Lytechinus pictus: one gene and its partner. The protein of the gene in region 2 interacts with the protein of the main gene of each other region in a pairwise test. Links are inferred from orthologs where the notes say so. Each region holds a gene or a part of one and is shown on either strand. Other genes may lie near its edges.

The links.
Region 1: the proteins of dr1-associated corepressor-like (region 2) and protein Dr1-like interact in a two-hybrid assay, tested with the Drosophila melanogaster proteins (2 studies listed by BioGRID, with this or other methods). The link is inferred for Lytechinus pictus from reciprocal best matches to the Drosophila melanogaster genes NC2alpha and NC2beta.

The regions. Positions count from the first base shown.
Region 1 is NC_087259.1:25,481,527-25,492,995, forward strand, and holds the start of protein Dr1-like, read right to left. Parts: upstream 5,069-11,469; 5' UTR 4,815-5,068; intron 2,324-4,814; 5' UTR 2,315-2,323; coding exon 2,086-2,314; intron 1,768-2,085; coding exon 1,604-1,767; intron 1-1,603. UniProt on the Drosophila melanogaster protein: Bifunctional basic transcription factor. Activates transcription of DPE (Downstream Promoter Element) containing promoters while repressing transcription of promoters which contain TATA elements.
Region 2 is NC_087251.1:39,084,865-39,097,014, reverse strand, and holds the start of dr1-associated corepressor-like, read right to left. Parts: upstream 5,883-12,150; 5' UTR 5,745-5,882; coding exon 5,703-5,744; intron 1-5,702. Other genes in the region: mucin-2-like, read right to left, coding at 9,101-9,190, 9,601-9,699, 9,870-10,928, 11,243-11,314, 11,543-11,593.

The DNA of each region.
Region 1 (11,469 bases), on a different chromosome or scaffold from region 2:
AGCTGGGAATTGTCAGTCAAGAGAGTTGGTGACGCAAATTGGAGCCCCCCAAGGTTGCGTATTATCTCCCGTTCTTTTCTCGTTGTACACGAGTAATTACATAGGTACGAAGACATCCCGCAGTGTAATCAAGTATGCCAACGATACCGTGATAACAGGCTACCTGTTCAATGATCCTAATGAATATATCTCACAGATAAATGATTTTGTCAGTTGGTGTGACGATCATTACCTGATATTGAATACCAGTAAAACCAAAGAAATTATCATTGATTTTCGGAAGGGTGATAAAATTCATGAACCACTCCGTGTTCACGGAGATGTCATTGAGCAGGTACATGAGTACAAATACCTCGGAACAATCATTGATGACAAGCTCTCATGGAAGCAAAATTGTCTATCAGTACAAAAGAAAACAAATCAAAGGATGCTTTTCTTGCGAAAACTTAGAAGTTTTCACATCGATAAAACTATACTGAAACTGTTCTATCAATCAATCATCAAAAGTGTAATAACTTGCAACCTGGTATGTACTTTCGGAAATATGTCAAACGAGCAAAAACAAAGAATAGACCAGATTCGACAAATTGCACAAAGGACGATAGGCATGGATTTGTCCCCTGTCCAAGCAATTTACGAAGAACGCATACTTGCCAAAGTACATACCATAATGGCAGACAAGACCCACCTCCTCAATAATTGGTTCCGGTTTAATGGTTCAGGAATACGGCTGTGTCCCCCCCCCCCCCCCCCCCCCCCCGCACACGCCTTTCCCGCTACCGGTACTCCTTTATTCCTGATTCTATACATGTGTATAACTCAAAAGTAACATGATGAGATATCTTCTTCTTCTTCTCCTCCTACTCAGTTCTTCTTCTTTTTCCCCTTTTCTCTCCTTTCTTGTTCTTTCTTTTCCCTTTCTTTCTCTTCTTCTTCTACACTTTACCTTTCCCTCCAGCTTCCTTTCATATTTTCCTACATATCTATCACTCTCTTATGAATGGGTGTTTTGTAAGTGTCAATTTATGATGATTATATACCGCATACTAGGATGGGGGGGGGGGGGTGGGGTTAGCAGCATGCAGACATCTCATCACCTATTTCTTATAATTTATGAATTTCGAATCATGAATTCTAAGGGTTATCAACCTATTGTAGAAATGTTTTCACTAAAGTTGTATTGTTTTTTTATGTAGAGTTAGATTGCTATGATATATTTTATTTTGCATTTTTGTGTGTATGTTATGAGTTTAAAGCCATTGGAAACTAAATTTCTCTGTATGCCTAGCATTCATGGACCAATAAAACAATCTTGAATCTTGAATACTAATATCAAATATTCAAATGCTTCTCCATTACATATTAATGGGCTCTATTAAAGAAAAGATACAATTGTTCAATTACTAAAGCATATCTGTATTAATCTATGGCAGACCATAAAAAAAAATTCACTATAAATTGTGGATATTATTATTAAGTGTAACTCTTTATGTTACACTATTACCTCCCCCCCTAATTAGGCTCCAAATGGCAAACTTTATGTATGTTCTTCCCTTTTGTTGAGTTTATAGTAGCCTTTGAAGTGCAAAGCTGTTGAAAGTACCTTTTCAAAGAGCTCCTGCTGTTGTCTAAGGAGTTCTTCTTCAGGTATACCAAGATTCTCAAGACGAGTGCTTGCTTTCCTCTTCTTTGCTGCCACCGTCTTACATTCCTCTAGAACTGACTTGCACTCTTGCAGGTAATCTCCAAACCCTAGGCTGTCCAATGCTGCAAATCATTTAAAAACAAACAAGAGAAAACCTAAAATTGTGAGCATAAATTTTGACAATGAATGCATGCATTGCACGATGCCAGTCAAATTCTACACATTTTCATTCTGGTCAAATGCATTAACAATGTAACCTGTTAGTGCCTCTGGTGGATAAAGCTTTTCATAAGTTACGAGTGAGTTTACGAACGGCTTGTAACGACATTAGATTCTCATAGGTATTCCTTTAGTTTCTCATCCCAGGTAACCAGTTGTTGTAAATTACTCCTAACTTATGAACAGCTTTATGACCCATCCCCTACTCTGAAACCATTTACCTTGAAGCGCATGTTCTGGCGATATCGTCTTCTTGGCCTGCTTATTGCAAATATCATTTGCTTCTGATGAAACCAACTGAATAAACTCAGTACAGCAATTTAAAATGAGTTCTCTCGCATCATTAGCAACTCTGACATTGGGTAGTAATTCCTTGATCATCTTGTTAAGAGGGGCACGAGGGACAGTTAGCTCATCCTCTGGAAGTTGAGAAGATTGTGAATCTGCCATCGTTACTACCTGCAAAATACGGTAATCAATAGAGTTACATTTATATACTGTAATATATGGTATTTCTAAGCGCTTTACATTGCAATTACTATTACCCAAATAATTGGAATTATTTCAAACACTCCTTGATATATAAGGAAGGAATACCATAACTTTTTTTCTACAAGTATATGTAATGGGGCGATTCCATACGTGTCGTACGGGACATTTTGTCAACAATTTCTAGTCTCTTAGCTGATTGCTTGAGCAATAAAAAAATTATTTTTGGTCAATAATAAAGTTATAGCGGATAGTCATGTGAAAACCTGATTACCGACAAAAAATATTTGATTATGGCTGAATTAAGGGCAAACAAGTTGTGTGTCGACCCGTACGGGACTCAGAAATGTCCCGTACGACACGCAACAGTTTCATCTCTAATTCACCCATGGACAGCATATATTTGTTGGTTGTCATTTTTCATATGTCTACCCAGTAGTACTCTATTATTACCACAAAACAAATTTAAGTTCTTTGTTTGTTTGGACAATAGGTTGAAAAATGTTGCGAAAATAGCTGATTTTTCTAGCATGGAATCGCCCAAAGGCTTCTTGACTGACTACAGGGCTCAAATTAAGAATTCATTGGGGCAATGCAAAGGGAAGGAAGGCAGTGCTCACTTCAGAGGGCATCCAAGGCCATTAAAACAGGGTATCAACAGTAAAATGTTCTTTTCAATAGGACACATGCACTGGATTATCTCAGGGAACAAAGGCCATATTATTTATTTTGTAATTATCTGTGTTACTGTTTGAATATATTTTTGTGTCATTATTACCTTGTAATACATTGCAATTCGGCCTTAGCCACGATGATGTCATGATTTTTATCAATAAACCATTTATCTATCTATCAAAGACAACAAGAGTGTCGCTAAGGCGAGCACATAATACGCCCGCCTGTAACGCGGAAAATGGAGTTATGGTCAAGCAAGAAAAGTGGAAGGTAGCGACTTCACCTTTGACCTTCTGACCTCAAAATCAATAGAAGTACTGGTAATTACTGGGATCTATGCTAGTTCATACACAACAAATTTTATGAGCCTAGGTTAAGTTCAACTTAAGTTAGCGCATTAACAAGGACTTCAGAAGGGTAAGATGAAAACATGTCACTGTGATCTTGACCTTTGACTTTTTGACCTCAAAATAAATAGGATTCCTGGGATCCATGCTAGTTCATACACACCAATTTATATGAGCCTAGGCTAGGTTAAGTTAAACTAAAGTTATCATGTTTCAAGGACTTCAGAAGGATAAGATGAAAACATGTGAGTGTGACCTTGACCTTTTGACCTCAAAATCAATAGGCTTCCAGGGATCCATGTTATACACACCAAATTATATGATCCTAGGTTAAGTTAAACTAAAGTTAAAGTAAAGTTATCACATATACAAGGACGACAGAAGGGCAAGATGAAAACATGTCAGTGTGACCTTGACCTTTTGACCTCAAAATCATTAGGCTTCCTGGGATCCATGCTACTCATACACACCAAATTATATGAGCCTAGGTTAAGTAAAACTGAAGTTATCGTGTTTACAAGGAAAAGTTAACTGACAGACGGAAGGACCAACGGACACCGAGCGTGATACCATACGTCCCGTCTAGGACAGGCGTATAAAATGAAGGAAAAAAAATTGAACTGAATTGAATTAATTCATTTCAAACCAAAGTAACCAAACATATATTGTTTATCATATGCATCACTATAGTAATAGTATACATCAGGGGCCGCGGATCGGTTTTCAAAGTGGGGGGGCTGAGCCAAAAGTGGGGGGGGGCTGATCATGCTAAAAATCACAATCATATGGTCATTTTTTCGTTTTTGTACACGGCTTTGGAAAAAAGTGGGGGGGCTGAAGCCCCCCCAGCTCCCCCGGTTCCGCGGCCCCTGTACATTTACAGGAGTTTACACATCCACTGTTTATAACAAGACTAGAGTAGAGTCAAGAAAGAATACTTTTTACTTCAAATTTAGTTCAATATAAAGTCTTTAAACTTAAGTCTAACTTGTAATGTTAGACTAAGTCTAGAGTAACTAATTAAGATCTATCTTTGACTTTGACTTTGTATCGCCTAGCCCTAACGTTAGGCCTATTATTTCTCTCAAATTTTTGATTTTATGAGGATTTTTGGCACACTAACCATGCTAACTCATGAGAATATAAGGAACACTATCGACTGATTTTTTTTGTGAAATAAAAATAATAATAAAATCATTTATAAAATTATAGGTGCGCAGTCACAGAATTGTGATATCCCCATTGGAAATGTGTGCACAAGAAATTGCACACGCCAGCAATAGAAATGCCATGGTGGTCCGGCTGCAGAGGCTGAGGCCTGAGCCTCTGAGTCTGACTCTGAGGCTGAGCTGGCTCAACCCACTCGGCAAAAAAAAATGAAGAAATAAATAAAACAAAATAGTTTTTAAGGCATGCAATTTGAATCGAACCAACTTGACCTTGCTAAGCTGACGACACCTTGCTATGAAAACGTGCCTGTCCTGAAACCCGAGTTAAAGCTGCAGAAACAATCGAACGAGAGCGAGATAAAGTCAAGGCCGGCGGACCAATCGATGATGCGTCGGTCTCTATGCCCAGGCTAGGCGCGGCGCGGCCAGCCAGACCAGTCGGTCCGGCTGCGGCACCCGTTGTCCCCGAGACCTATATTACGTCATATGTGTTATGGCTGCACTTGGAAGAGCGACGGTCCGAGCCGTTCAAGGCAAGAAGAGGTTAATTCCTCAAAGGGCTGCTTTAGTTTTGGTGAGTGATCGAGATAGCTTTTTAATTTCCATCTCTTTTCCTGACCGTTAGTTTGTGTTTTTAGTGAGTGCAAGAGTTTATGAGCAAATTTGAGACAGTTTAATGAGACATGATTCGTACCGCGACGGGCCGGGCATGCGCATGCAGCAGAATAGGCCATGGGGCCTATCCTACCGGTACATAGCCTCTTGTCGAGGCCCTGTCGGCTTCTTTCCGAGCGAACATGGCAAAGCACGGGAGAGAGCGAAGCAGAGCGCCGCGAGACAGGGCCTCTGGACATCTGTACCGAATTTCACCGACTTTCTTTTGTTTTTTATTGTTTTTACCAATTCACCGACCAAAAACTGGTCGGTGAAAATCATCCAATGAGGAGCGCGAGCTGCTATGACGTCATATTAAATATTCATGAGCTCCTCTTGAATGGCGACCCTTGGATTCTTGGCGAAGAGTGACGACGAAATATCAAAGAGCACTGAATACGCCTCTAAAACGCTGAATATTGACCGATTTAAGGATTTGCAAGTCGATGAAATTAACTCTGCACTGAAAGGACGAGATGTCTTTGTAAATCTACCCACAGGATATGGAAAAAATGTAATATTTCATGCGATTCCACCGGTCGATCCGGGGCGTCGATTATCGATCTCCGCTGTGCAGTGCAGTGAGGGAAGCTGGGGGGAGTTGCTGGGAGTTGACTCGAGTCTGACCAGCGGCTGAGCAGTATCTCCCGGGAAGTTTCGGGGCGGTGATGGGTCTGTTACGGCCAGTAGTAATAGTAGTAGTAATAGTAGTACCACTACTTGTAGCATTTTGCTGGTTATATCCCCTTTATTGTCCCGCAATTAAATGAATCCCCTGCAGAATAGTGGACTACTATATAGTATTCCGAACCCAAGACGAAACAGCTCTGACATTTCATTGGTTTACTCGGTGACCGGTAATATCATGACTCATGTATATTCATTAGGAAGACGTTCCTCATGAATATATAATTCAGTTCAGATGTCAAGAGGCCCTGGCTCGCGCCAGGCCTAATTCGCTTCGCGAATTAGGAAAGCCCTCGCTTCGCTGGGGAAGCAGCCGCCAGGGCCTCGACAAGAGGCTAACCGGTACACGGCTCCGGCGGTGCGGCGTAGTAGGCGGCTACGGCCTACGCCTGCAAAGTGCAGGCTGCGCTGAGTCTTGCATCATGTCGTCGTTGTTTGCTCCACCATTACGGGCCCAGTGGCCGTCATCGGTCCATTGATGGAGGGAATACCGTGGAGTCAGGGGCCTGTTGCATGGAAGGGTCTTTCGTAGAACCATTCTCAGTAGAGGCGCTGGTCCAAAAATTGGGATTGTCCCAGAAAACAAGGATATCCTCATAAACCAAGACAAATCATGTCTTGATAAATTGAGACTGTCCTTGTTTATGGGGACGTTTTTTTTTCACTTCCCCCTACGGGACAAAGACAGCAATTACGGGAATTGTGAGTGCTAAAAATAGATTCAGTGACCTCAATTCCCCCCAGTTCACCGTCTATTTTTCATGACTTACCGTCTTCCAATAATCATGTTTTGAAACCTGATAATGTTTACATTGACTAGCACACTTGATTGGTGTCGGCACTTGACAGGTGAATGAACTTTCCTAGATTTCTTGTGTGAAGAAATCCTTATAAACTGAGACAGTCCCTGTAAACTGGAACGATCCCAATTTTCTGACCAGCGCCTCTACTGATTCTACGTAAGATAAGAACGAGATATCGCCCAACTTTTTCACAAAGCCGATTTGGGCGATACGAAGAATGGTCCTTGGAAAGACACCTCCAGACATGTCCTACGTAGGCATGATCTTCTTTGCACACTGCCCGCCACCGTCGGCATTGAGAGAAAATGCGTTTACGGCAAGCCACACTGACATATCACCTCTAAACATTTTTGGGGTTGCACACTGATGCATTTTATCTTGGATGGCGCCAAGTTATTTGTTATAATATGGGGGCTAGTTGTCATCAATTTCAGGTCGTCTTTTTGCACGGCAAGACGACCAAAAAACAGATGTCATTTTAACTTCTCCGGGCAGGGTTGGCACGTTTTAAACGGTGTGTTTTAAAACATGTTTTAAAACGCGTTTTAAAACACCCGTTTTTTTTACAAAAAAACGTGTTTTAAAACACCGCATAGGCTTGTGTGTTGTAAATTTGCATGGATGTGATTTTAGATTAATTTTTTAAATACTTTTATTTCTGAAGTGGTGTACTATTTTCTTTTAAGTTATAACTAATAAAAACTCTTTCTCCCAACTCTCTTTCTCTTTCCCCCTTTATTCTCCCTTTCTCCATTACTTTATCATGTTTCTTTCCTCCCTGTTCAATTGTGCACATCATTCCATATTAATAGAGTCTATATCTGAGTGTTGTGCTCACTTTTTGGACAGGGAAAGAAACACTATTTGAAATAAGCTCAAATACATGTATACTACATGTAATCGTAGTACTTCAATGAAATGGAAGTGTTGCACAAGCCTATATACTGTAAACAAATACAATGTAGACTGTAAAACTGACATTGTACTCTTGAAGTACACACGAAAGCAGGTGAAACTTTGCGCTTTGTATAGATGAAGAAAAGTAATTTAAACAGAATAAGATAGTCAGCTAGCAAACCTTAACCCTAACAATCCAAGGGGACCTTAACCCTATCTTAACTGGGCTATTTCAGACCGGAATATACTGATTGCACAATAACCGCAAAAATTTGCACGCGCGTAGAGCCGGATGTAAACTTCAAGACTGCATAATAAAATTTTCCCAAAAATTGATAATTTATATTTTTTTATTTATGCAAATAAGGGTATGAAATTTTGCCTAAATTAGTTTTTTTGTGTATGTATTTGCCTTTAACTCAATTTACGTAGCTAGTAGAATGCTAATTTCTGGTGGCAGTATCAATTTTTTAAATTTTTTTTTAACTCTTATGTATTTCTTTGTTTTTGAAACTTTTGTTTTTATTGTTTTTTCAAATGAACTTAGTCGGGGACCCTTTTGCAATCATAAATAGCATGAAATAAATCCATTTAAACCAAAAGTAAAAATAATCATACATTTATGATTTTTAGTTGAAAAACATAATTCAAGGCTCGACATTAGTGGTGGCCCGGTGGCCCGGGGCCACCAAAAATTCACCTCGGGCAACCATTATTGATAAAATGTTAAGTTTTGGTGGCCCGAATCGGGCAACCAATAATTTTCAAAGTAGCGCAATTTTTCTCCCAATTTTGCACGCATTTATCAACTTTCTACAGCTCAAATTGCAAGCCAGTTCGTCATGCGCCTTTTTTGTTGATCTACACACAAATACACACACACACAGTTTGCATATTAGGCCTACAGCTATAGCATACAGTAGCTATTATCCAGCCAGCCGCGCCGGCCGGCTGGCGTGAGCTTTGCATGAATCCACTGCATACAGCTGTACTGTGCATGCTCTAGATCTAGCTCAGCCTATTCAGACTCAGGGAGCTGCGATAAAAAATGTTGCTGCTGAGAAATCTTCCACAGAACTTTGAAAATCTAAGTCAAAGTCACCTTTTACACCAATGAAATGCAATTCTACAGTCTATATTACGAAAATCTGGTGTACCCTGATTATTTGCAAGTATTAAGAAGAGGAATTATGACCTCTCTTTTGACTCAAAAAGACCGATTTCCACATGAATTAATACACATAAAAACACATAGGCAAGTACATCACAGTCCCACGTGTGCATTTGTATGTATGTTGATACTTGGTTTCTTTCGAAGCTGTGTATTTTCTAGCCTTAAACAAACAGACAGTTTCTTTCTTTCTTGTTTATAAATGACTTCTTAAACCACTCTTGAGAAAGTAAATACTTTGGGAAGGCATTTCATTGATATGAAATGAGATTTTTTCCCCAACATTTTGGCAAATGTAGGGAAGGACTTTTCTCACACTTTTTTTCCAGATATAGTTTTTGCCGTTTTCTTTTTTTTTCTTTCATTTTTTTTTGACAGTGGTTAAACCATTTATACCCCTTCCCATTGAATATGCCTGATTAAAAAATATGTTTCTACTGAAAATAAAATAATACAATCTAAAGGATATAAAAATAGAAATGTGCCATTCCCAAAAGGTAAGTGAAAATTATATGCTTGGCTTTTTATTATATTCCAGTCAGAATAGACTTGCCACAGCTGTTAAAAATATATGTAATGGCTTCTTAATTTTCCCCTTTTCTCCATTTTTATATTAACTTTGTTTTATTAATTTTTCTTTCATTCTCTTTTCTTTTTTCTCTCAAATTTTTTTCTTTTCTTTTTTTCTTTTTTTCCCTGTTCTTTGTTTTTTTCTTTCTTCATTTTCTTTCTTTTGTGTTATTTCACTAATTTCTTTTATTATTTTTGTTTTCTTTTTGTTATATACTTTTTGAAAATTATTTTCGTTTGTTTCTCCCTTTTATGCATTGTTCTAATTTTGCAGCATATTTTTCTGTGATTTTCTCCTTCTATAATATGCTGCATAAGAGAAAACAGAAATAAACTGGATTTGGGGCATGCATAATCTAGGTTTTAGGATTCAAAGAGGAAGGAAGGAAAAACCATTGTTTTGTACATCTATCTGGGTTTGCTATGCACTATTTATTTACTTTACCATTATCTCTATACAGAGATTTTAAAAAAAGTCCACACAACCTGCGAACAATACAATTCATTTATTCACTTTCAATCATTTCATTTTTACAACGATAGAAACAATTATCAATTAGCAAAGTAAAATAACAGCAAACAAGGTTTACATGCAAGATGTATAAAGTGAAAGGAACTTAGTGGTAGTGGCTGCAGAATTAATATTTCAGAAGTTTGTTTTATTCATTTTTAATGTTTTTCTTTATATTTTTCGGGCCACCAAACTTTAATATCGGGCCACCAAAAAAAAATATTTGATGGTTTTGGTGGCCCGAACGGGCCACCACCAAAAAAAGTTAATGTGGAGCCTTGCATAATTTGCATATAGACTTTCAACACGGAATCACATTTTTGAGCAATTTGCTGAGAAATCTTCCACAGAACTTTGAAAATCTCAGTCAAAGTCACATTTTACACCAATGAAATGCAATTCTACAGTCTATATTACGAAAATCTGGTGGACCCTGATTATTTGCAAGTATTAAGAAGAGGAATTATGACCTCTCTTTTGACTCAAAAAGACCGATTTCCACATGAATTAATACACATAAAAACACATAGGCAAGTACATCACAGTCCCACGTGTGCATTTGTATGTATGTTGATACTTGGTTTCTTTCGAAGCTGTGTATTTTCTAGCCAAAAACAAACAGACAGTTTCTTTCTTTCTTGTTTATAAATGACTTCTTAAACCACTCTTGAGAAAGTAAATACTTTGGGAAGGCATTTCATTGATATGAAATGTGATTTTTTTCCCAACATTTTGGCAAATATAGGGAAGGACTTTTCTCACACTTTTTATCCAAAATCACCAGATATAATTTTTGCCGTTTTCATATTTTTTTTCCTTTCATTTTTTTTTGACAGTGGTTAAACCATTTATACCCCTTCCCATTGAATATGCCTGATTAAAAAATATGTTTCTACTGAAAATGAAATAATACAAACTAAAGGATATAAAAATAAAAATGTGCCATTCCCAAAAAGTAAGTGAAAATTATTTGCTTGGCTTTAAATAATTATATTCCAGTCAGAATAGACTGTTGCCACAGCTGTTTAAAAATATATGTAATGGCTTCTTAATTTTCCCCTTTTCCCCATTTTTTTATTAAGTTTGTTTTATTAATTTTTCTTTCATTTTCTTTTCTTTTTTCTCTCTAATTTTTTTCTTTTCTATTTTTCTTTTTTTCCCTGTTCTTTGTTTTTTTCTTTCTTCATTTTCTTTCTTTTATTTTATTTCACTAATTTCTTTTATTATTTTTTTTTCTTTTTGTAATATACTTTTTGAAAATTATTTTCGTTTGTTTCCCCCTTTTATGCATTGTTCTAATTTTGCAGCATATTTTTCTGTGATTTTCTCCTTCTATAATATGCTGCAAAAGAGAAAACAGAAATAAACTGGATTTGGGGCATGCATAATCTAGGTTTTAGGATTCAAAGAGGAAGGAAGGAAAAACCATTGTTTTGTACATGTATCTATCTGAATTTGCTATGCACTATTTATTTACTTTACCATTATCTCTATACAAAGATTTAAAAAAAAGTCCACACAACCTGCGAACAATACAATTCATTTATTCTCTTTCAATCATTTCATGTTTACCATGATAGAAACATTTATCAATTAGCAAAGTAAAATAACAGCGAACAAGGTTTACATACA
Region 2 (12,150 bases):
GATCAGTCTGGTAAGAAACCTTAAAATTTTCACCTTTTTATTAACCAATACGCCTAATACAATAGGTCAAACGCCTAATGCGTATGAAGGTTCAAATATCAATAGAATTCACACTTATAAACTGATTTCACCCTTTAAATATGGATTTCCTAGGGAAATCCATCTATGTTTTGGTCAGTCTCTTATACATATATGGCAAGCGATTCAAGACTCAATGATCAGGATGGAGAAGTATATGTCAAAATATTTAAAAAACATCATCATGGAGTCCTCAAGGCTAGGTTAAGACTAGACCAAAAGCTTCGGTCTCTGTTATGTTGGCTGTTCCGCTAAACTCCGTTGTTTCCACTCACCAAATATAGAGACCAAAGTTCTAGCTCGATCTGTACAGGGACTAAATGGCCAGGGGCCTGTTGCATGCAAGGGTCTTTCGTAGGACCATTCTACGTAAGAACGAGATATCGCTCAACTGTTTCACAAAGCCGATTTGGGCGATACGAAGAATGGTCCTTGGAAAGACACCTCCAGACATGTCCTACGTAGGCATGATCTTCTTTGCACACCGCCCGCCACCGTCGGCATTGAGAGAAAATGCATTTAAGGCAAGCCACACTGACATATCACCTCTAAACATTTTTTTGGTTGCACTCTGATGCATTTTATCTGGGATGGCGCCAAGTTATTTTTTATATGGGGGCTAGTTGTCATCAATTTCAGGTCGTCTTTTTGCACGGCAGGACGACCAAAAACGGATGTCATTTTAACTTCTCCGGGGTACATGTATTATTCCCGGAGGTAATGTATAGGGCCAAATCATATTTTTAAAATATGTTTTCTTCTATTCTCCCTCTGTCTTATCCCCACCCCTTTTCTATTAAAAAAATAAACTTGAAATACTTGAAATGGGCGGCACTATATCTCTTTAGCCGACCCCTCATGCTTTCTCATTAAAAATAAACAACAAATTTCTTTAAAAGAAATTATGTAAGGTAAAAAACGTGTTCAATAACATTCAGCAAAAAAAAAAACAAGACAAACAAAACTAAGATGTTAAACATGCTAAATCATTTATTTATTTTTATTTTATTTTCCTTATAATTATTTTTTTTGCTGAGATTTATTTTAATCAATGAAAATTAATTGTTGGATTTGAAACAGTGAAACAAAACAAAAAACCTGCAGCTAATATTGAATTTAAGATACAGATTAAGCCTATAGCTTACGAATCCATCACAATCATTACAAATGAAGATAAGTTCATTAAAGAAAAGATTATGGAAAGTCCATACGAAGAGGCGCATTTTTAATCTTTTATGTTATTTCTTAAACCTTATATTCTTTTATAAACCTCTCTTTAAGAATGTCGAATAATCCGTTCCTCTGATTGGTCAAAACTGAGGTCATGTAAACAACCATGCCTTCAAAACAACAAACTAAGGTGGTAACCAAGGGCAACGGGCATAGTTAACAAGATTTCTGCCCGTTGCCCCCTGATCCGCCCCTTAACGACGGGCATAGCAAAATTTGGCTGAAATCCCCATTTGATTGCATGCAAAATGTTGCTTTCTGCGGTGATTACGGATACCATAAATATCCGCGCGATTTGATCGAAAGTTTTAAACAATTCGCGCATTTACGCGCTTATTGCGCAAGTGCGCGCAACGGATATGACATATCGATGGAACGATGCCGATCTTTGACTTTTGCTTGTTAATTCCTGTTAAAATATATGGCATTTATTGAAAATAAAACTAGCTTATTAAGGACATAACGGATGTATATCAATCATCAAGTCTTGGGGAAGTTCGCTCAAATGCATGCTCGCAAAAGGTGAGTCAGGTGAAAAGATTAGACGGTCACTGCACTTTCTAACAATAAACGTTTAACTCGTTCATGTCGTTACTTAACCTTAGCCTGGGACAGTTAGGTATTGACAAACGACAACGTTAGGACAGGTAGATCTAATGTTAATTGTCGTTAGCTTAGAAGTTAAGAGTAGACTCTAGATCTAACGTTAGGACGTAGGTTTAGTCGACTAGATCTAACGTTAGATTATACTCTAGTCTAAATTTTAAGACTGAACTTTAGATCTAGCTACACTGTAGGCCCTAGACCCTATTCAGAATCAGACCCTAATTTGGTTCCTAAAAATATCTAGCCTAGGCCTAGTAGGGCCTATCGGTATGAACTGCTCGGGAACTGCTTTGATATTCGATTTGAGACCTAACTTCAGGGCAGGGCTAAGTAAGGGCCTAGACCTTACGTTAGCCTTGGGCCTAGGCCAGGGGCAGGCTTTTTTGTTTTAGTTTTACTTGATCTAAACCTAGACCAAGCCCTAACGTTTATGTTTAATAATTCGGTTCATAAAATATATATGGACTGCTTTTATATTCGAGACATGGTTGTTTCAATTCGGCTCGCGGGTACCGCATCGGCCAGACCATGCCCTCGGGCAAAGCCCTCGGGCATAGTCGCGTTGCGGTCCCCTTGAGCCTCTAGAAACAACCATGCCTCTCAAAGCAGTCCATATATCTATAATATAAACTTCCATAAAATAAGTGATCATCTTTAAATATGACCAGCGTTTATGATTGTTGTCATATTTAGCATTATTTCTGTAAAAGTATTTTTTCCATTGCGGATTGATTCACACCTTTTTCTATGTTTTAATTATTATTGCAAAGTACTACTTTATCCACTTGGACATGTTTGCAGCAATTTTCATATTTTCATTTTCTTATGTTACTCATCATGCAACTGAGGTATGTTTATACTCTAAACACTCACATTGTATTTCTTGCATTTTATCTGACAAATAAAATAAATAAATTAGATTTTTCACATGCAGCCTCTTCTTCTTCTTCTTCTTTCCTTGGTTGGCAACCAGTCAGGATTGACTATTTTTGCCACAGCTTTTGTTCATTTTCAACAGCTTGTTATTCTTGTTATTTTTCTTTTCTTTTCTTGTTATTTTTCTTTTTTTTTCTTTTTTCCTCCTATCTCTTTTTTTTTTTTTTTTCTCTCTTCTCTTTTTTTTCCTATTCTTTTTCTTTTCTTTTCTCTTTTTTCTTTTCATTTCTTTTTTTTTTTTCTTTTCTTTTGTTCTCTTTTTTCTTTTCTTGTTTCATTTTTTCTCTTTTCTTTTCTTTTCTTCTTATATAGACATATTGTATTTTTTGTCCTTTTAAAATAAGAATTTTCCTTTTTTTTCTTTTTTTTATGCGTTCTGTTTCTTGCAGCACGTTGTATTTTCTTCTGCTACATTAAGCTGCAATAGAGAAAACAAAAGTAAACTGGATTTGTGGCCTGATAAAACTTCAGGTTTCGGGACACCGAAAACTAAAGTATGGGAGGAAAGTGAAAAAAAAAAAAAAAAAAAAAAAAAAAAAAAAAAAAAAACAAGCAAACAAACTTGAAAACAAAACCAAACAAATAAACAACAAAACTTCTCTCTTCATTCTTAACTCCTTTCTGTCCCCCCTGACAAAATTACCAAATTAAAGAACTCAGATAATTAGCAAAGGGTAAGGAAGGGAAAAAAGAATAAGGGAAAAAAAAAAAAAAAAAAAAAAAAAAAAAAAGAGAAAAACAGGATCCACGACGATCGCTGAGCTCCGCGTTACGGTTACGGGCTATCTGTTGTCGATGTAGTAAAATGACATATATAATCAAAATGTATAGGACCATAGGAAAGTGAGTAAAAATCGACCATGTGTCTGCATCTTCTTCTGCTTTGTGTCTCCCTTTCATAGATTTAACTCTTGTAGAAAAAAAAATTAATAATAATGAATAAATAAATAAATAAAAAATACAAAATTAGGGGGCGGAGAAAATTCAGACTTTATAATCGTTTCGTTCTGAGAACGAAACGGACCAATGCAGATTGGGTTTCTACCTTAGTACTCTTTAAGAGATCCATTATTTTTTGGGGGGTTGATAGATTTGTTTCTGTAAGTAGCATGGCTCTCTCTATTATATATTTGGGACACTCGATTAAAAAATGCTCAACTGTTTCTAATTTGTTGGGCCTACATGTATCACAAAGTCCCGTGGGGTGTATATTAAGTCTTTTTAAATCGTAGTTCAATCCTATTACACCAAAACGGAGTCTGTGGATAATGGTTTCGTGGAATCTACTTAGGGAACAAAAAAAGGGAGAGTTAACAGTGGGATGGTATAGTTTAAGTAGGCGATGGGATTCATTCCATCTTTTTTGCCATTCTAGAGTGTATCTTTTGAAAATGAGATGTTTTATTTCTGTTAAAGATAATTTGTTGTTGACTTCAATTTTTTTCTGCAATGCATTTTTTGCTTTCGTGTCCGCCATCTCGTATCTCATATTTTCCTTCTTAGTCTCATACAATCAGACACTGTTGATTTTGCTTACTCCATTCAAACCCTATATTTACCTCAACAAATAACATATTAACACATAATTTGCACAATTATCATTATATACAAGTATTCTATAAAAATACAGAATATTGAACTAATAAATGTCGAAATTACATAGTTAAATCAATTTTTATGTCGGACAAGGGTCTCTTTCGTTGAAATATCAATAAAAGGTGTCTCTAAAAAGACACCGTGTTCTAAATAAGGGAAATAATGAAAATTTCAATTTTATTTTAGTTATGTTTGTGAATCTTTAAAGTTTTTTCTCTTTTAACCTCATAAAGTAAGCTCCATACATCAATTCTACTATCAGTAATAAATAAAACATTATTTGATCTCCTTTTATTGAAATATCGGATTTTATGTAAAGTCGTCATTCAGAAATAACATGTTCAGGTGACGTTGAAGACTAAATATTTTTCCGATACTATCGATATCAAATGATGTCGCGGACTTGGAAGACAAAATTGCCTTCGTGAAACGGAAAGCGCTGATTTGTCGCCAATCTTTATATCTCGGAAGAATGGTCCTAGGACGTTCCTACGTATCGCTCATCTCGTCATGCAACAGGCCCCATATGTTTATGTATTAAGTTCAAATAAAACAGGGAAGTGAAGTTGCGTGACAGCCGAAGTAAGTCAGTTTTTCCCTTTTAAATTTTTCCCAGTTTTGGTGCATTTCAGGCCAAAACAGTAGACTCTAGGTTAAGACGAGGTATCAGTCACATTTCGAGGTCAATAAACAATATGCCCAGTTTTGTTACCGGTGTGTTGGCTCAGTTGGTAGAGCGTCCGTCTCACAACCGGGAGGTTGGGGGTTCAAACCCCGGCCGCGTCAGACCAAAAGACGTTAAAAGATGGGAGTTGCTGCTACCCTATTCGGCGTTCAATGATTAAAGGGATAGACATAGAGCCTTGTCGATCTGGCGCTGCACAGCGGCTGCCGGGCCCATGATCAATTGGGCAAAGCAAATTTTCGGAGTATTTCATTTCACGTCTATTTCGAACAATAAAATATGGATTTTCATTTTTTCATTTCCTAAATATCGCGATCGGCTATATTTCGGCTCTGCTATTGACGTTATCGTTCGAATTTTCAGTCAGACAAAGCCGGCACATCTTCAAAAAAGTTCAAGATCTCGAGCTCCGCCGCGCCGCCGAAACACCGCCTGAAGCTTCCCCGCGGTCAAGGCCCCAAGCCGGTTGCATGCAGGCATCACGCATCGGTCGGCCAGTCGGGAATCGAGGGCCGCTGCTACGTGGACACGATGGTCTAGTGTACATTTATGAATAACCGTTGTTACTTACAGGTGGAAATCTTGCGTTGTACTTCTTCTTCTTGCTTGGCATTTTAAAAACCTTTCTTTTACCACAGATTGCTCCCCAACTCTTAGAAAATGCCGATAAATGAAGGAGGAAATACCGACTCAGTATTCGGGATGCGCTTTCTCAAATTCCTTCGTGTCAATCTTTCTATGGTGTCTTATCTAGGGCGAAGAAAATGGGAAATAAAAAGTGCTGTGAGAGCAAAAGACTCTTCAGACCTGGGCCCTGGGGATTTCATGAAATAACTTTTCGGATATTTTGTAGAAACAGACACTTGCAATCAATTAAAATCAAGAAACTTGCCAGACCTGACAACTTGTCGGATGACAAATGTTGATGAAACATTCCTCAGGGCTGAAAGAACTTCACAAGGTTACTTAATAGGTTGAGCTCGAGCTAGGGAGCGTTACAAGGATTTGTTGTTGTTGGATATTTTAATCCGACAGTAGGATCTGTTTTATGTTAATAGAAATACAGCAATACATCTCCGTCGTTTTACTCGATAGTTAATATAGGCAAAGCAATACGCCTGTGCTTCCCATTAAAAAAAAATCAAGAAAGTTGTCAAATCTTATTTTTTAGATGACTTTTATGTTAATGAAACTCTTTCTAAGACGCGGCAGTACGTCCCTACTCCCTAGATTAAGCTACGGGCTCGCATACACTGACAATTAATGAAAAAATAGGACAAATTTAAAAGCTTTTGTTTCTGGTAACTTTAAAGAAAGATGGAGCAGCTTTTATAATGGTAAGCTGGGTATTATTATGGTCACTGGCGGATTTTTTTTAGCTTGTTTCATTTTTCTTCGGAACCCCCCCCCCCTTGGAAAATCCTACCGGGAAATCCTATTCCTGGATCCGCCCCTGAGTAAATTATGATGCTTAATTACAAGAGCGGAGCTTAAAATTTTTTTGTTATTGCAAGGAAACGTTTGATCTGATTTTTTTATCAGTTTCGATTTCAATATATCTGAAGGAATTTGATGGTAAATCACCCTCACTAAAGTAGTAGGACTGGTATTACCAAAATAGATGTAAACATTGGCATAAAGATGAGGGTTGGGAGCCGTATACCCCCCCAAAAAATAATTCTATGACCAAGAAAGAGAGAAGAAAAGGGGAGAAAAGGAAAGGAAAACTGCGAAATATAGATCCGACCGGCACGCGATCAAAATAAGTTTTCTTGTAAAGTCGCAAAATTCACCCTGAAAATACTTTTCATTACACGTCCTCCACATCAGGATTATTTTAGGGCATACGCATTCATATCATTATATAGTGATAGACGCATTTTAGGGAATGAAGCTAAGCGGAGAAAGAGAAGAAAGGGAGGAAGGGGACATTGTCAGATTTTTTATCAGTCTTATTTATCAAACAAATACATGGATACTTTTTTTACCCTTCTTAGATGTTTCTTTATTGAATATATATATATATATATATATACATAATGTTCTTAGAATGTTCCGGTCCTATGTCAAGACTCAAAGTAATGATAATTAAACATAATAGGCTCTTTTTTAACTGTGATCCATATCCAGTGTAGAGTAAATCCAGTAAATTAATTCTAAAGATCGATCATTTTTAAATCTCAAATGATTTCATATCAAAATTTGTTCGCTTGCCAAAAATCATAAAATGTACAGTATCTTATGAAATTTTGTGCTACCATGACGAATTTGATATCAAACAAGTGAGTATGTCATGCCCCTTCATTACATTGCTTTGTCATCAGTTGCTAAAAAATATTTAGGTGTCATTTTTGCCCCCAAATCTTCATATTTTAGAAAAATCAAAAATAAAAACTTAACAAAAACATTTCATATTTGTCACCTAGTTAATTCTCAACACAAAAATTTTTTATTACACTTTTTTGTTCAATGGTGACATATCATGATAGAAAATGTTATATAAATCAAAGATTTGACATTTTATATTTCTATGAAACGATGTTTGAAAATAAAACAACAAACATAATACATTTGGAACAAATATTATTTTTTATTCAAAGATAATTCCACCTGAAATATACTTTAATCCCAATGGCATTCCAATTATGTGAAAGAGATTAACATGCTCTTTTATTATTTTGATACCAAATTCGTCATGGTGGTATTTTTTTCTGAAGATAAAGTAAATTTTACGATGTTTGGCAAGCGAACAAATTTCACTAAATTCCATGGGTGTATGTAAACTTATGGCCTCAAGTGCATATATGTATATATATATATATATATATATATATATATATATATATATATATATATATATATATGTATATATATATATATATATATATATATATATAAAATATATGTATGTATATATGGTGGAATTGTAGTCAAGGACGAATCGAATTCTGGATCTAGCTTGAAACATGAATATTTAGTTTTAAAGCCCGATGCATTTTGATATGAAATCATTTGAGATTTAAAAATGATCGATCCTTAGAATTAATTTACTCTATACACTGCTAGAAAAACAGAAGATTTTACAGAAGAAAAATATAAAAAAAACACAAAAAATGAATATACCAAACCAAGCCAACTTGTGTGTGTCACGCATGCACACATATATTCACCAACATACACCAACAAACCAACTCACACTCACATTATGCGCTTACTTCACACATCTAGAAACAAGAACGTGTTAAACGTTGATTATTTTAATATTTCTTTATTGAGAATGAGACTTAACAAAGCATTTCCATTATCATATATAGCTTGATTCATAGTATGGCATGTCAGAATCTGCAGATTGTTTTTGAGCTTTATTTAGATAAGGTATGCATACTTCTCAAAATTACATTTCGTTAACAATATTCTTGTTTCATTAAGTTAAATGAATTCAATTTTCAAGTATGTTCAAGATTCGTCATTGAATTATTTCAATATGACTTTTTAAGTAACTAATCATTAGTGGTTGAAGAGTATGGCAATGGACTCCTCAAACTGCAAAATAAATTCTCTTTGAAAATCAGAACTGAAATAAAGTTGTCTATGATCAGAATATAACATACTATTATCCTTTTGGAAATAAATGAACAAGCCTGCATTTGTTTGTAACCATCATTCATAACTCTGCCAGTTTTTAATGAAATTAAAGCCCCCTGATTGCTTCAGTTAACAGTGGCTCTCTGTATATGACCTGTTGCATATTTAGCCTTTTTCCTAAACAAAATAAATTGTATTTTTGAGTTCGTAACTAAGACTTATTGAATTTTTTTTTTTTTTTCAGTTTCGGTAAATGATCCAAAGACCTGCCAATTTTTTTTCTTATGGGATAATATTCTAGGTGAATTGAAGGTTTGTTTATGACCCAAAGGTATCCGGTTTGTTTTCAATCATTGCAGTATAGTTGAAGCGATCTGATAGTTCCTAATCCGCTTTCGCAGGCTTGTTCTTGTGCTTGCGTGCGAGCTTTAGGAATTTCTTGAGCTTCTTCTTCTTTGTCTTTGAATCCATAGCCTAAAGACAAGGAAATATGAAAAGGATGAAAAGGAATAAAAGAGAATAAGAAGATCTCAAAAATATGAGCTGCTGGAAAAAGTGAAATACGATTAAAAACATGGTATAGAAAGTTGATATTTAAAATATAGTTGGTTTGCATGGTACATGCATTGACGACTGACACGTGTTACATAAAGACATCATCAAAATCACACAATTTTTCCAATGTTTAATCAGCATTATAAGATTATTTCAAACCTTTCTAAACAAAGTTTAGGTTTCAATAATCTTTAGTAATCGAAATGTTTTAGATGTTTTGGATTGTTTTAAACATGTAATGAAATATATCTTTTATAGAGTCACCACTTAACAGTAAAGAAACAAATTCATATGAAAATACACTGAATAGATTCGGATTGTGTAATTACCATTTTTTGGTTATGAGAAGAGGTATCCGTTGTCATTCCCGGGTTGGTTGATTTGGGGAATCGTCTTTGTGAAGGCTCCTTCCGGGTTTTTTTAGAAGGCTACATAGAGGATATGAGAAAAAACACTAGATAAATAAATATTTTCAAGTACAAAAGAGAATTTCACGGCGTCTCTTGTAAAGCCCAAAAGCACTTTTTAATTAAATATTATGTAAAGTGACGTTAAAAGAATAAAAGCCTGACATTTGAAGAAAAAAATCATAAATCACCTTCGAAAAGTCCCCTCCATTGGCCACAGGAACAAGAGCGTGATCCCCAGATGTTGAAGCAATATCTGTTTCACTTGGACAGGTTGGATGTCCATTGTCTAGATTGAGGACATTTTCATCAGAAACTTTTCCTTGTCCGATGTTGGTGACTTGGCTCTTTGATTGCTCCAGGGGCTCGGTGGTCCAGTTCTGGATCTTAGGGGGAGGAACCGGGTACTGCCACGTTTGAGAATCTACAACAGGTCTGAGATTCTTGATCTGGAGCACGTCATTCGTTGCCAAGGAAGAAGACTCTGGCTGGGAGATTGTAATATCGTCAGAAACTGATTTTATTTCTGGGACGGTCTCATTCGTAGCATCAAGGGCTTTCTGGACTAGAGCAGCAGATACACGATTAGCCAAGGTTGGCAGAGGCTCGTGCACTGATTTTACGGTGATGAAGCGTGCACTGCTGACGGTGTTGTTGCATTCCTTAGTTGAACTCTTCTTCTCCAAAGCTTGATCGGCAGGTCTAGATTGCCTGGTAGTAGCGATCTTCACGTATGGGTCTTTGGCCGGTTTTACTTGAATTAACCTCACATTTGGAGTGCCGCTGTTATTCTGGCTTTGGATCTCGGGTACCTCAGAATCAGAATCGGATTCTCCAGTGTTCATTAACGGCGAGTTGGCATGTTGAGCTGGTCGCACGCTAATAAGCCTCACTTTGGTGCCGCCGTTGACCTGGCTATAACATTCGGTTTCATCTGTGTCTTTAGGTTGAAAGACAGAGTCATCCACTGATCTGATGGCCATCTGTTTCGGATTCTCACCAGCCAAGGTCTCATTCACCTTATCATCAGATCCCGCATCATATACAGATTCACAACGGGCCTTGGTCTTCAGAGGCTCTTGATGTTGATAGGGTTTGCAAGTCGCTGGCAGGTTCTCCAGAGGAAAGTTGGCCAGTTTGGCATCAGAGTCGGATCCTTTGATGGTGTAAGAAGAAGATGACAAAGTGGATTCGATGGATGGTGTGATCCTTGGCAGGAAGTTGCAAGCATTCTTACCACTGGATTGCTTCTGTTACAAGGAATGAAATAGAAAGAACTATTAAAGTATGTTTTCTCATATTCGTTTTTATATGAAAAATGACATTTCATTTCTTACAATAAAATGCGAATATATTAAATAAAGTACGAGTGTAATATCTATAGCCATGGACAAGATACCCTGCTAAAACTTATTCATAAACTGAAACTAAAACAGCTAACTGTGCAAACAAAACATATTTATATATTCATACATTGACTCAAACAAATTTAATGAAACTCTATGAAAATTCAAATAAGTTGATTTGGTAAATTATGTGCAATGTGTGCTTTTTATGCCCTTACCTTGTTCACAGAATTGGTCTGTGTTTGATCCGTTACATCCATGCCAGTGTTCTTGGAAGAAGACGGTGTGTCCTTATAGAAGAAACAATTACATTAACTTGTAAACTCGTCATAATAATGTAAAAGAAATCATTGTTTATCTATTGGAAGTATGTATATTCATGTTCAATCAGATTTTGGTAAAAATCATATGCAGTAGAGTATAATTCACGTTGCTTTAATGTATGATGATATTTACCATTATAAAGAATTTAAAATCCATCTCATAATAACTACGGTCATACATTCTGAGATACCTACCGGTCGCTTGTTCACAGAGAAGATAGAATATCCTCCTTTTGGAGCAACAAGCTATGACAGAAGAAATAAAAGCAAAGTTTATTTGATATGAAAATTAGGTTTCAATTTATACGTAAACAGTAAGAAGTGTAAACTTTGACAACAGTGTTCTTGACGGTGAAAGTTAGATTGGAATAATTCTTGGATCGTGTATGCAACACGATTCTTTACGTTGTTGTAGTCCGTTTTATGAATAATTGTCCTTCTATGTATCAAACACTTAACTTTAGGATCAAGGAGAAAATATGATCTTTAAAATATCAAATAATTTAAGTTGATCAATCTACATTATGCCCCATTCGACTCAGTTGAGGTAAATAGAGATTCGGCAGGAATTGATTCCTTGAAATGCTAAAGCGCCCTTTAGACAGTTAGGCTAAAGAAAAAAATATCGTGGAGTGCCCTGAGAGTTATATCTGACACTCTGACAGACCTGAGCGATATATATGTACGAACCCAATATCATTGTTTTTGTTGTTACTATTATTATTATCATCATCATCATCAAAATCATTTTTGTATTCATAATCCCATTAAATGGCAAATTCTTCACTATGAACCGTTTCTTT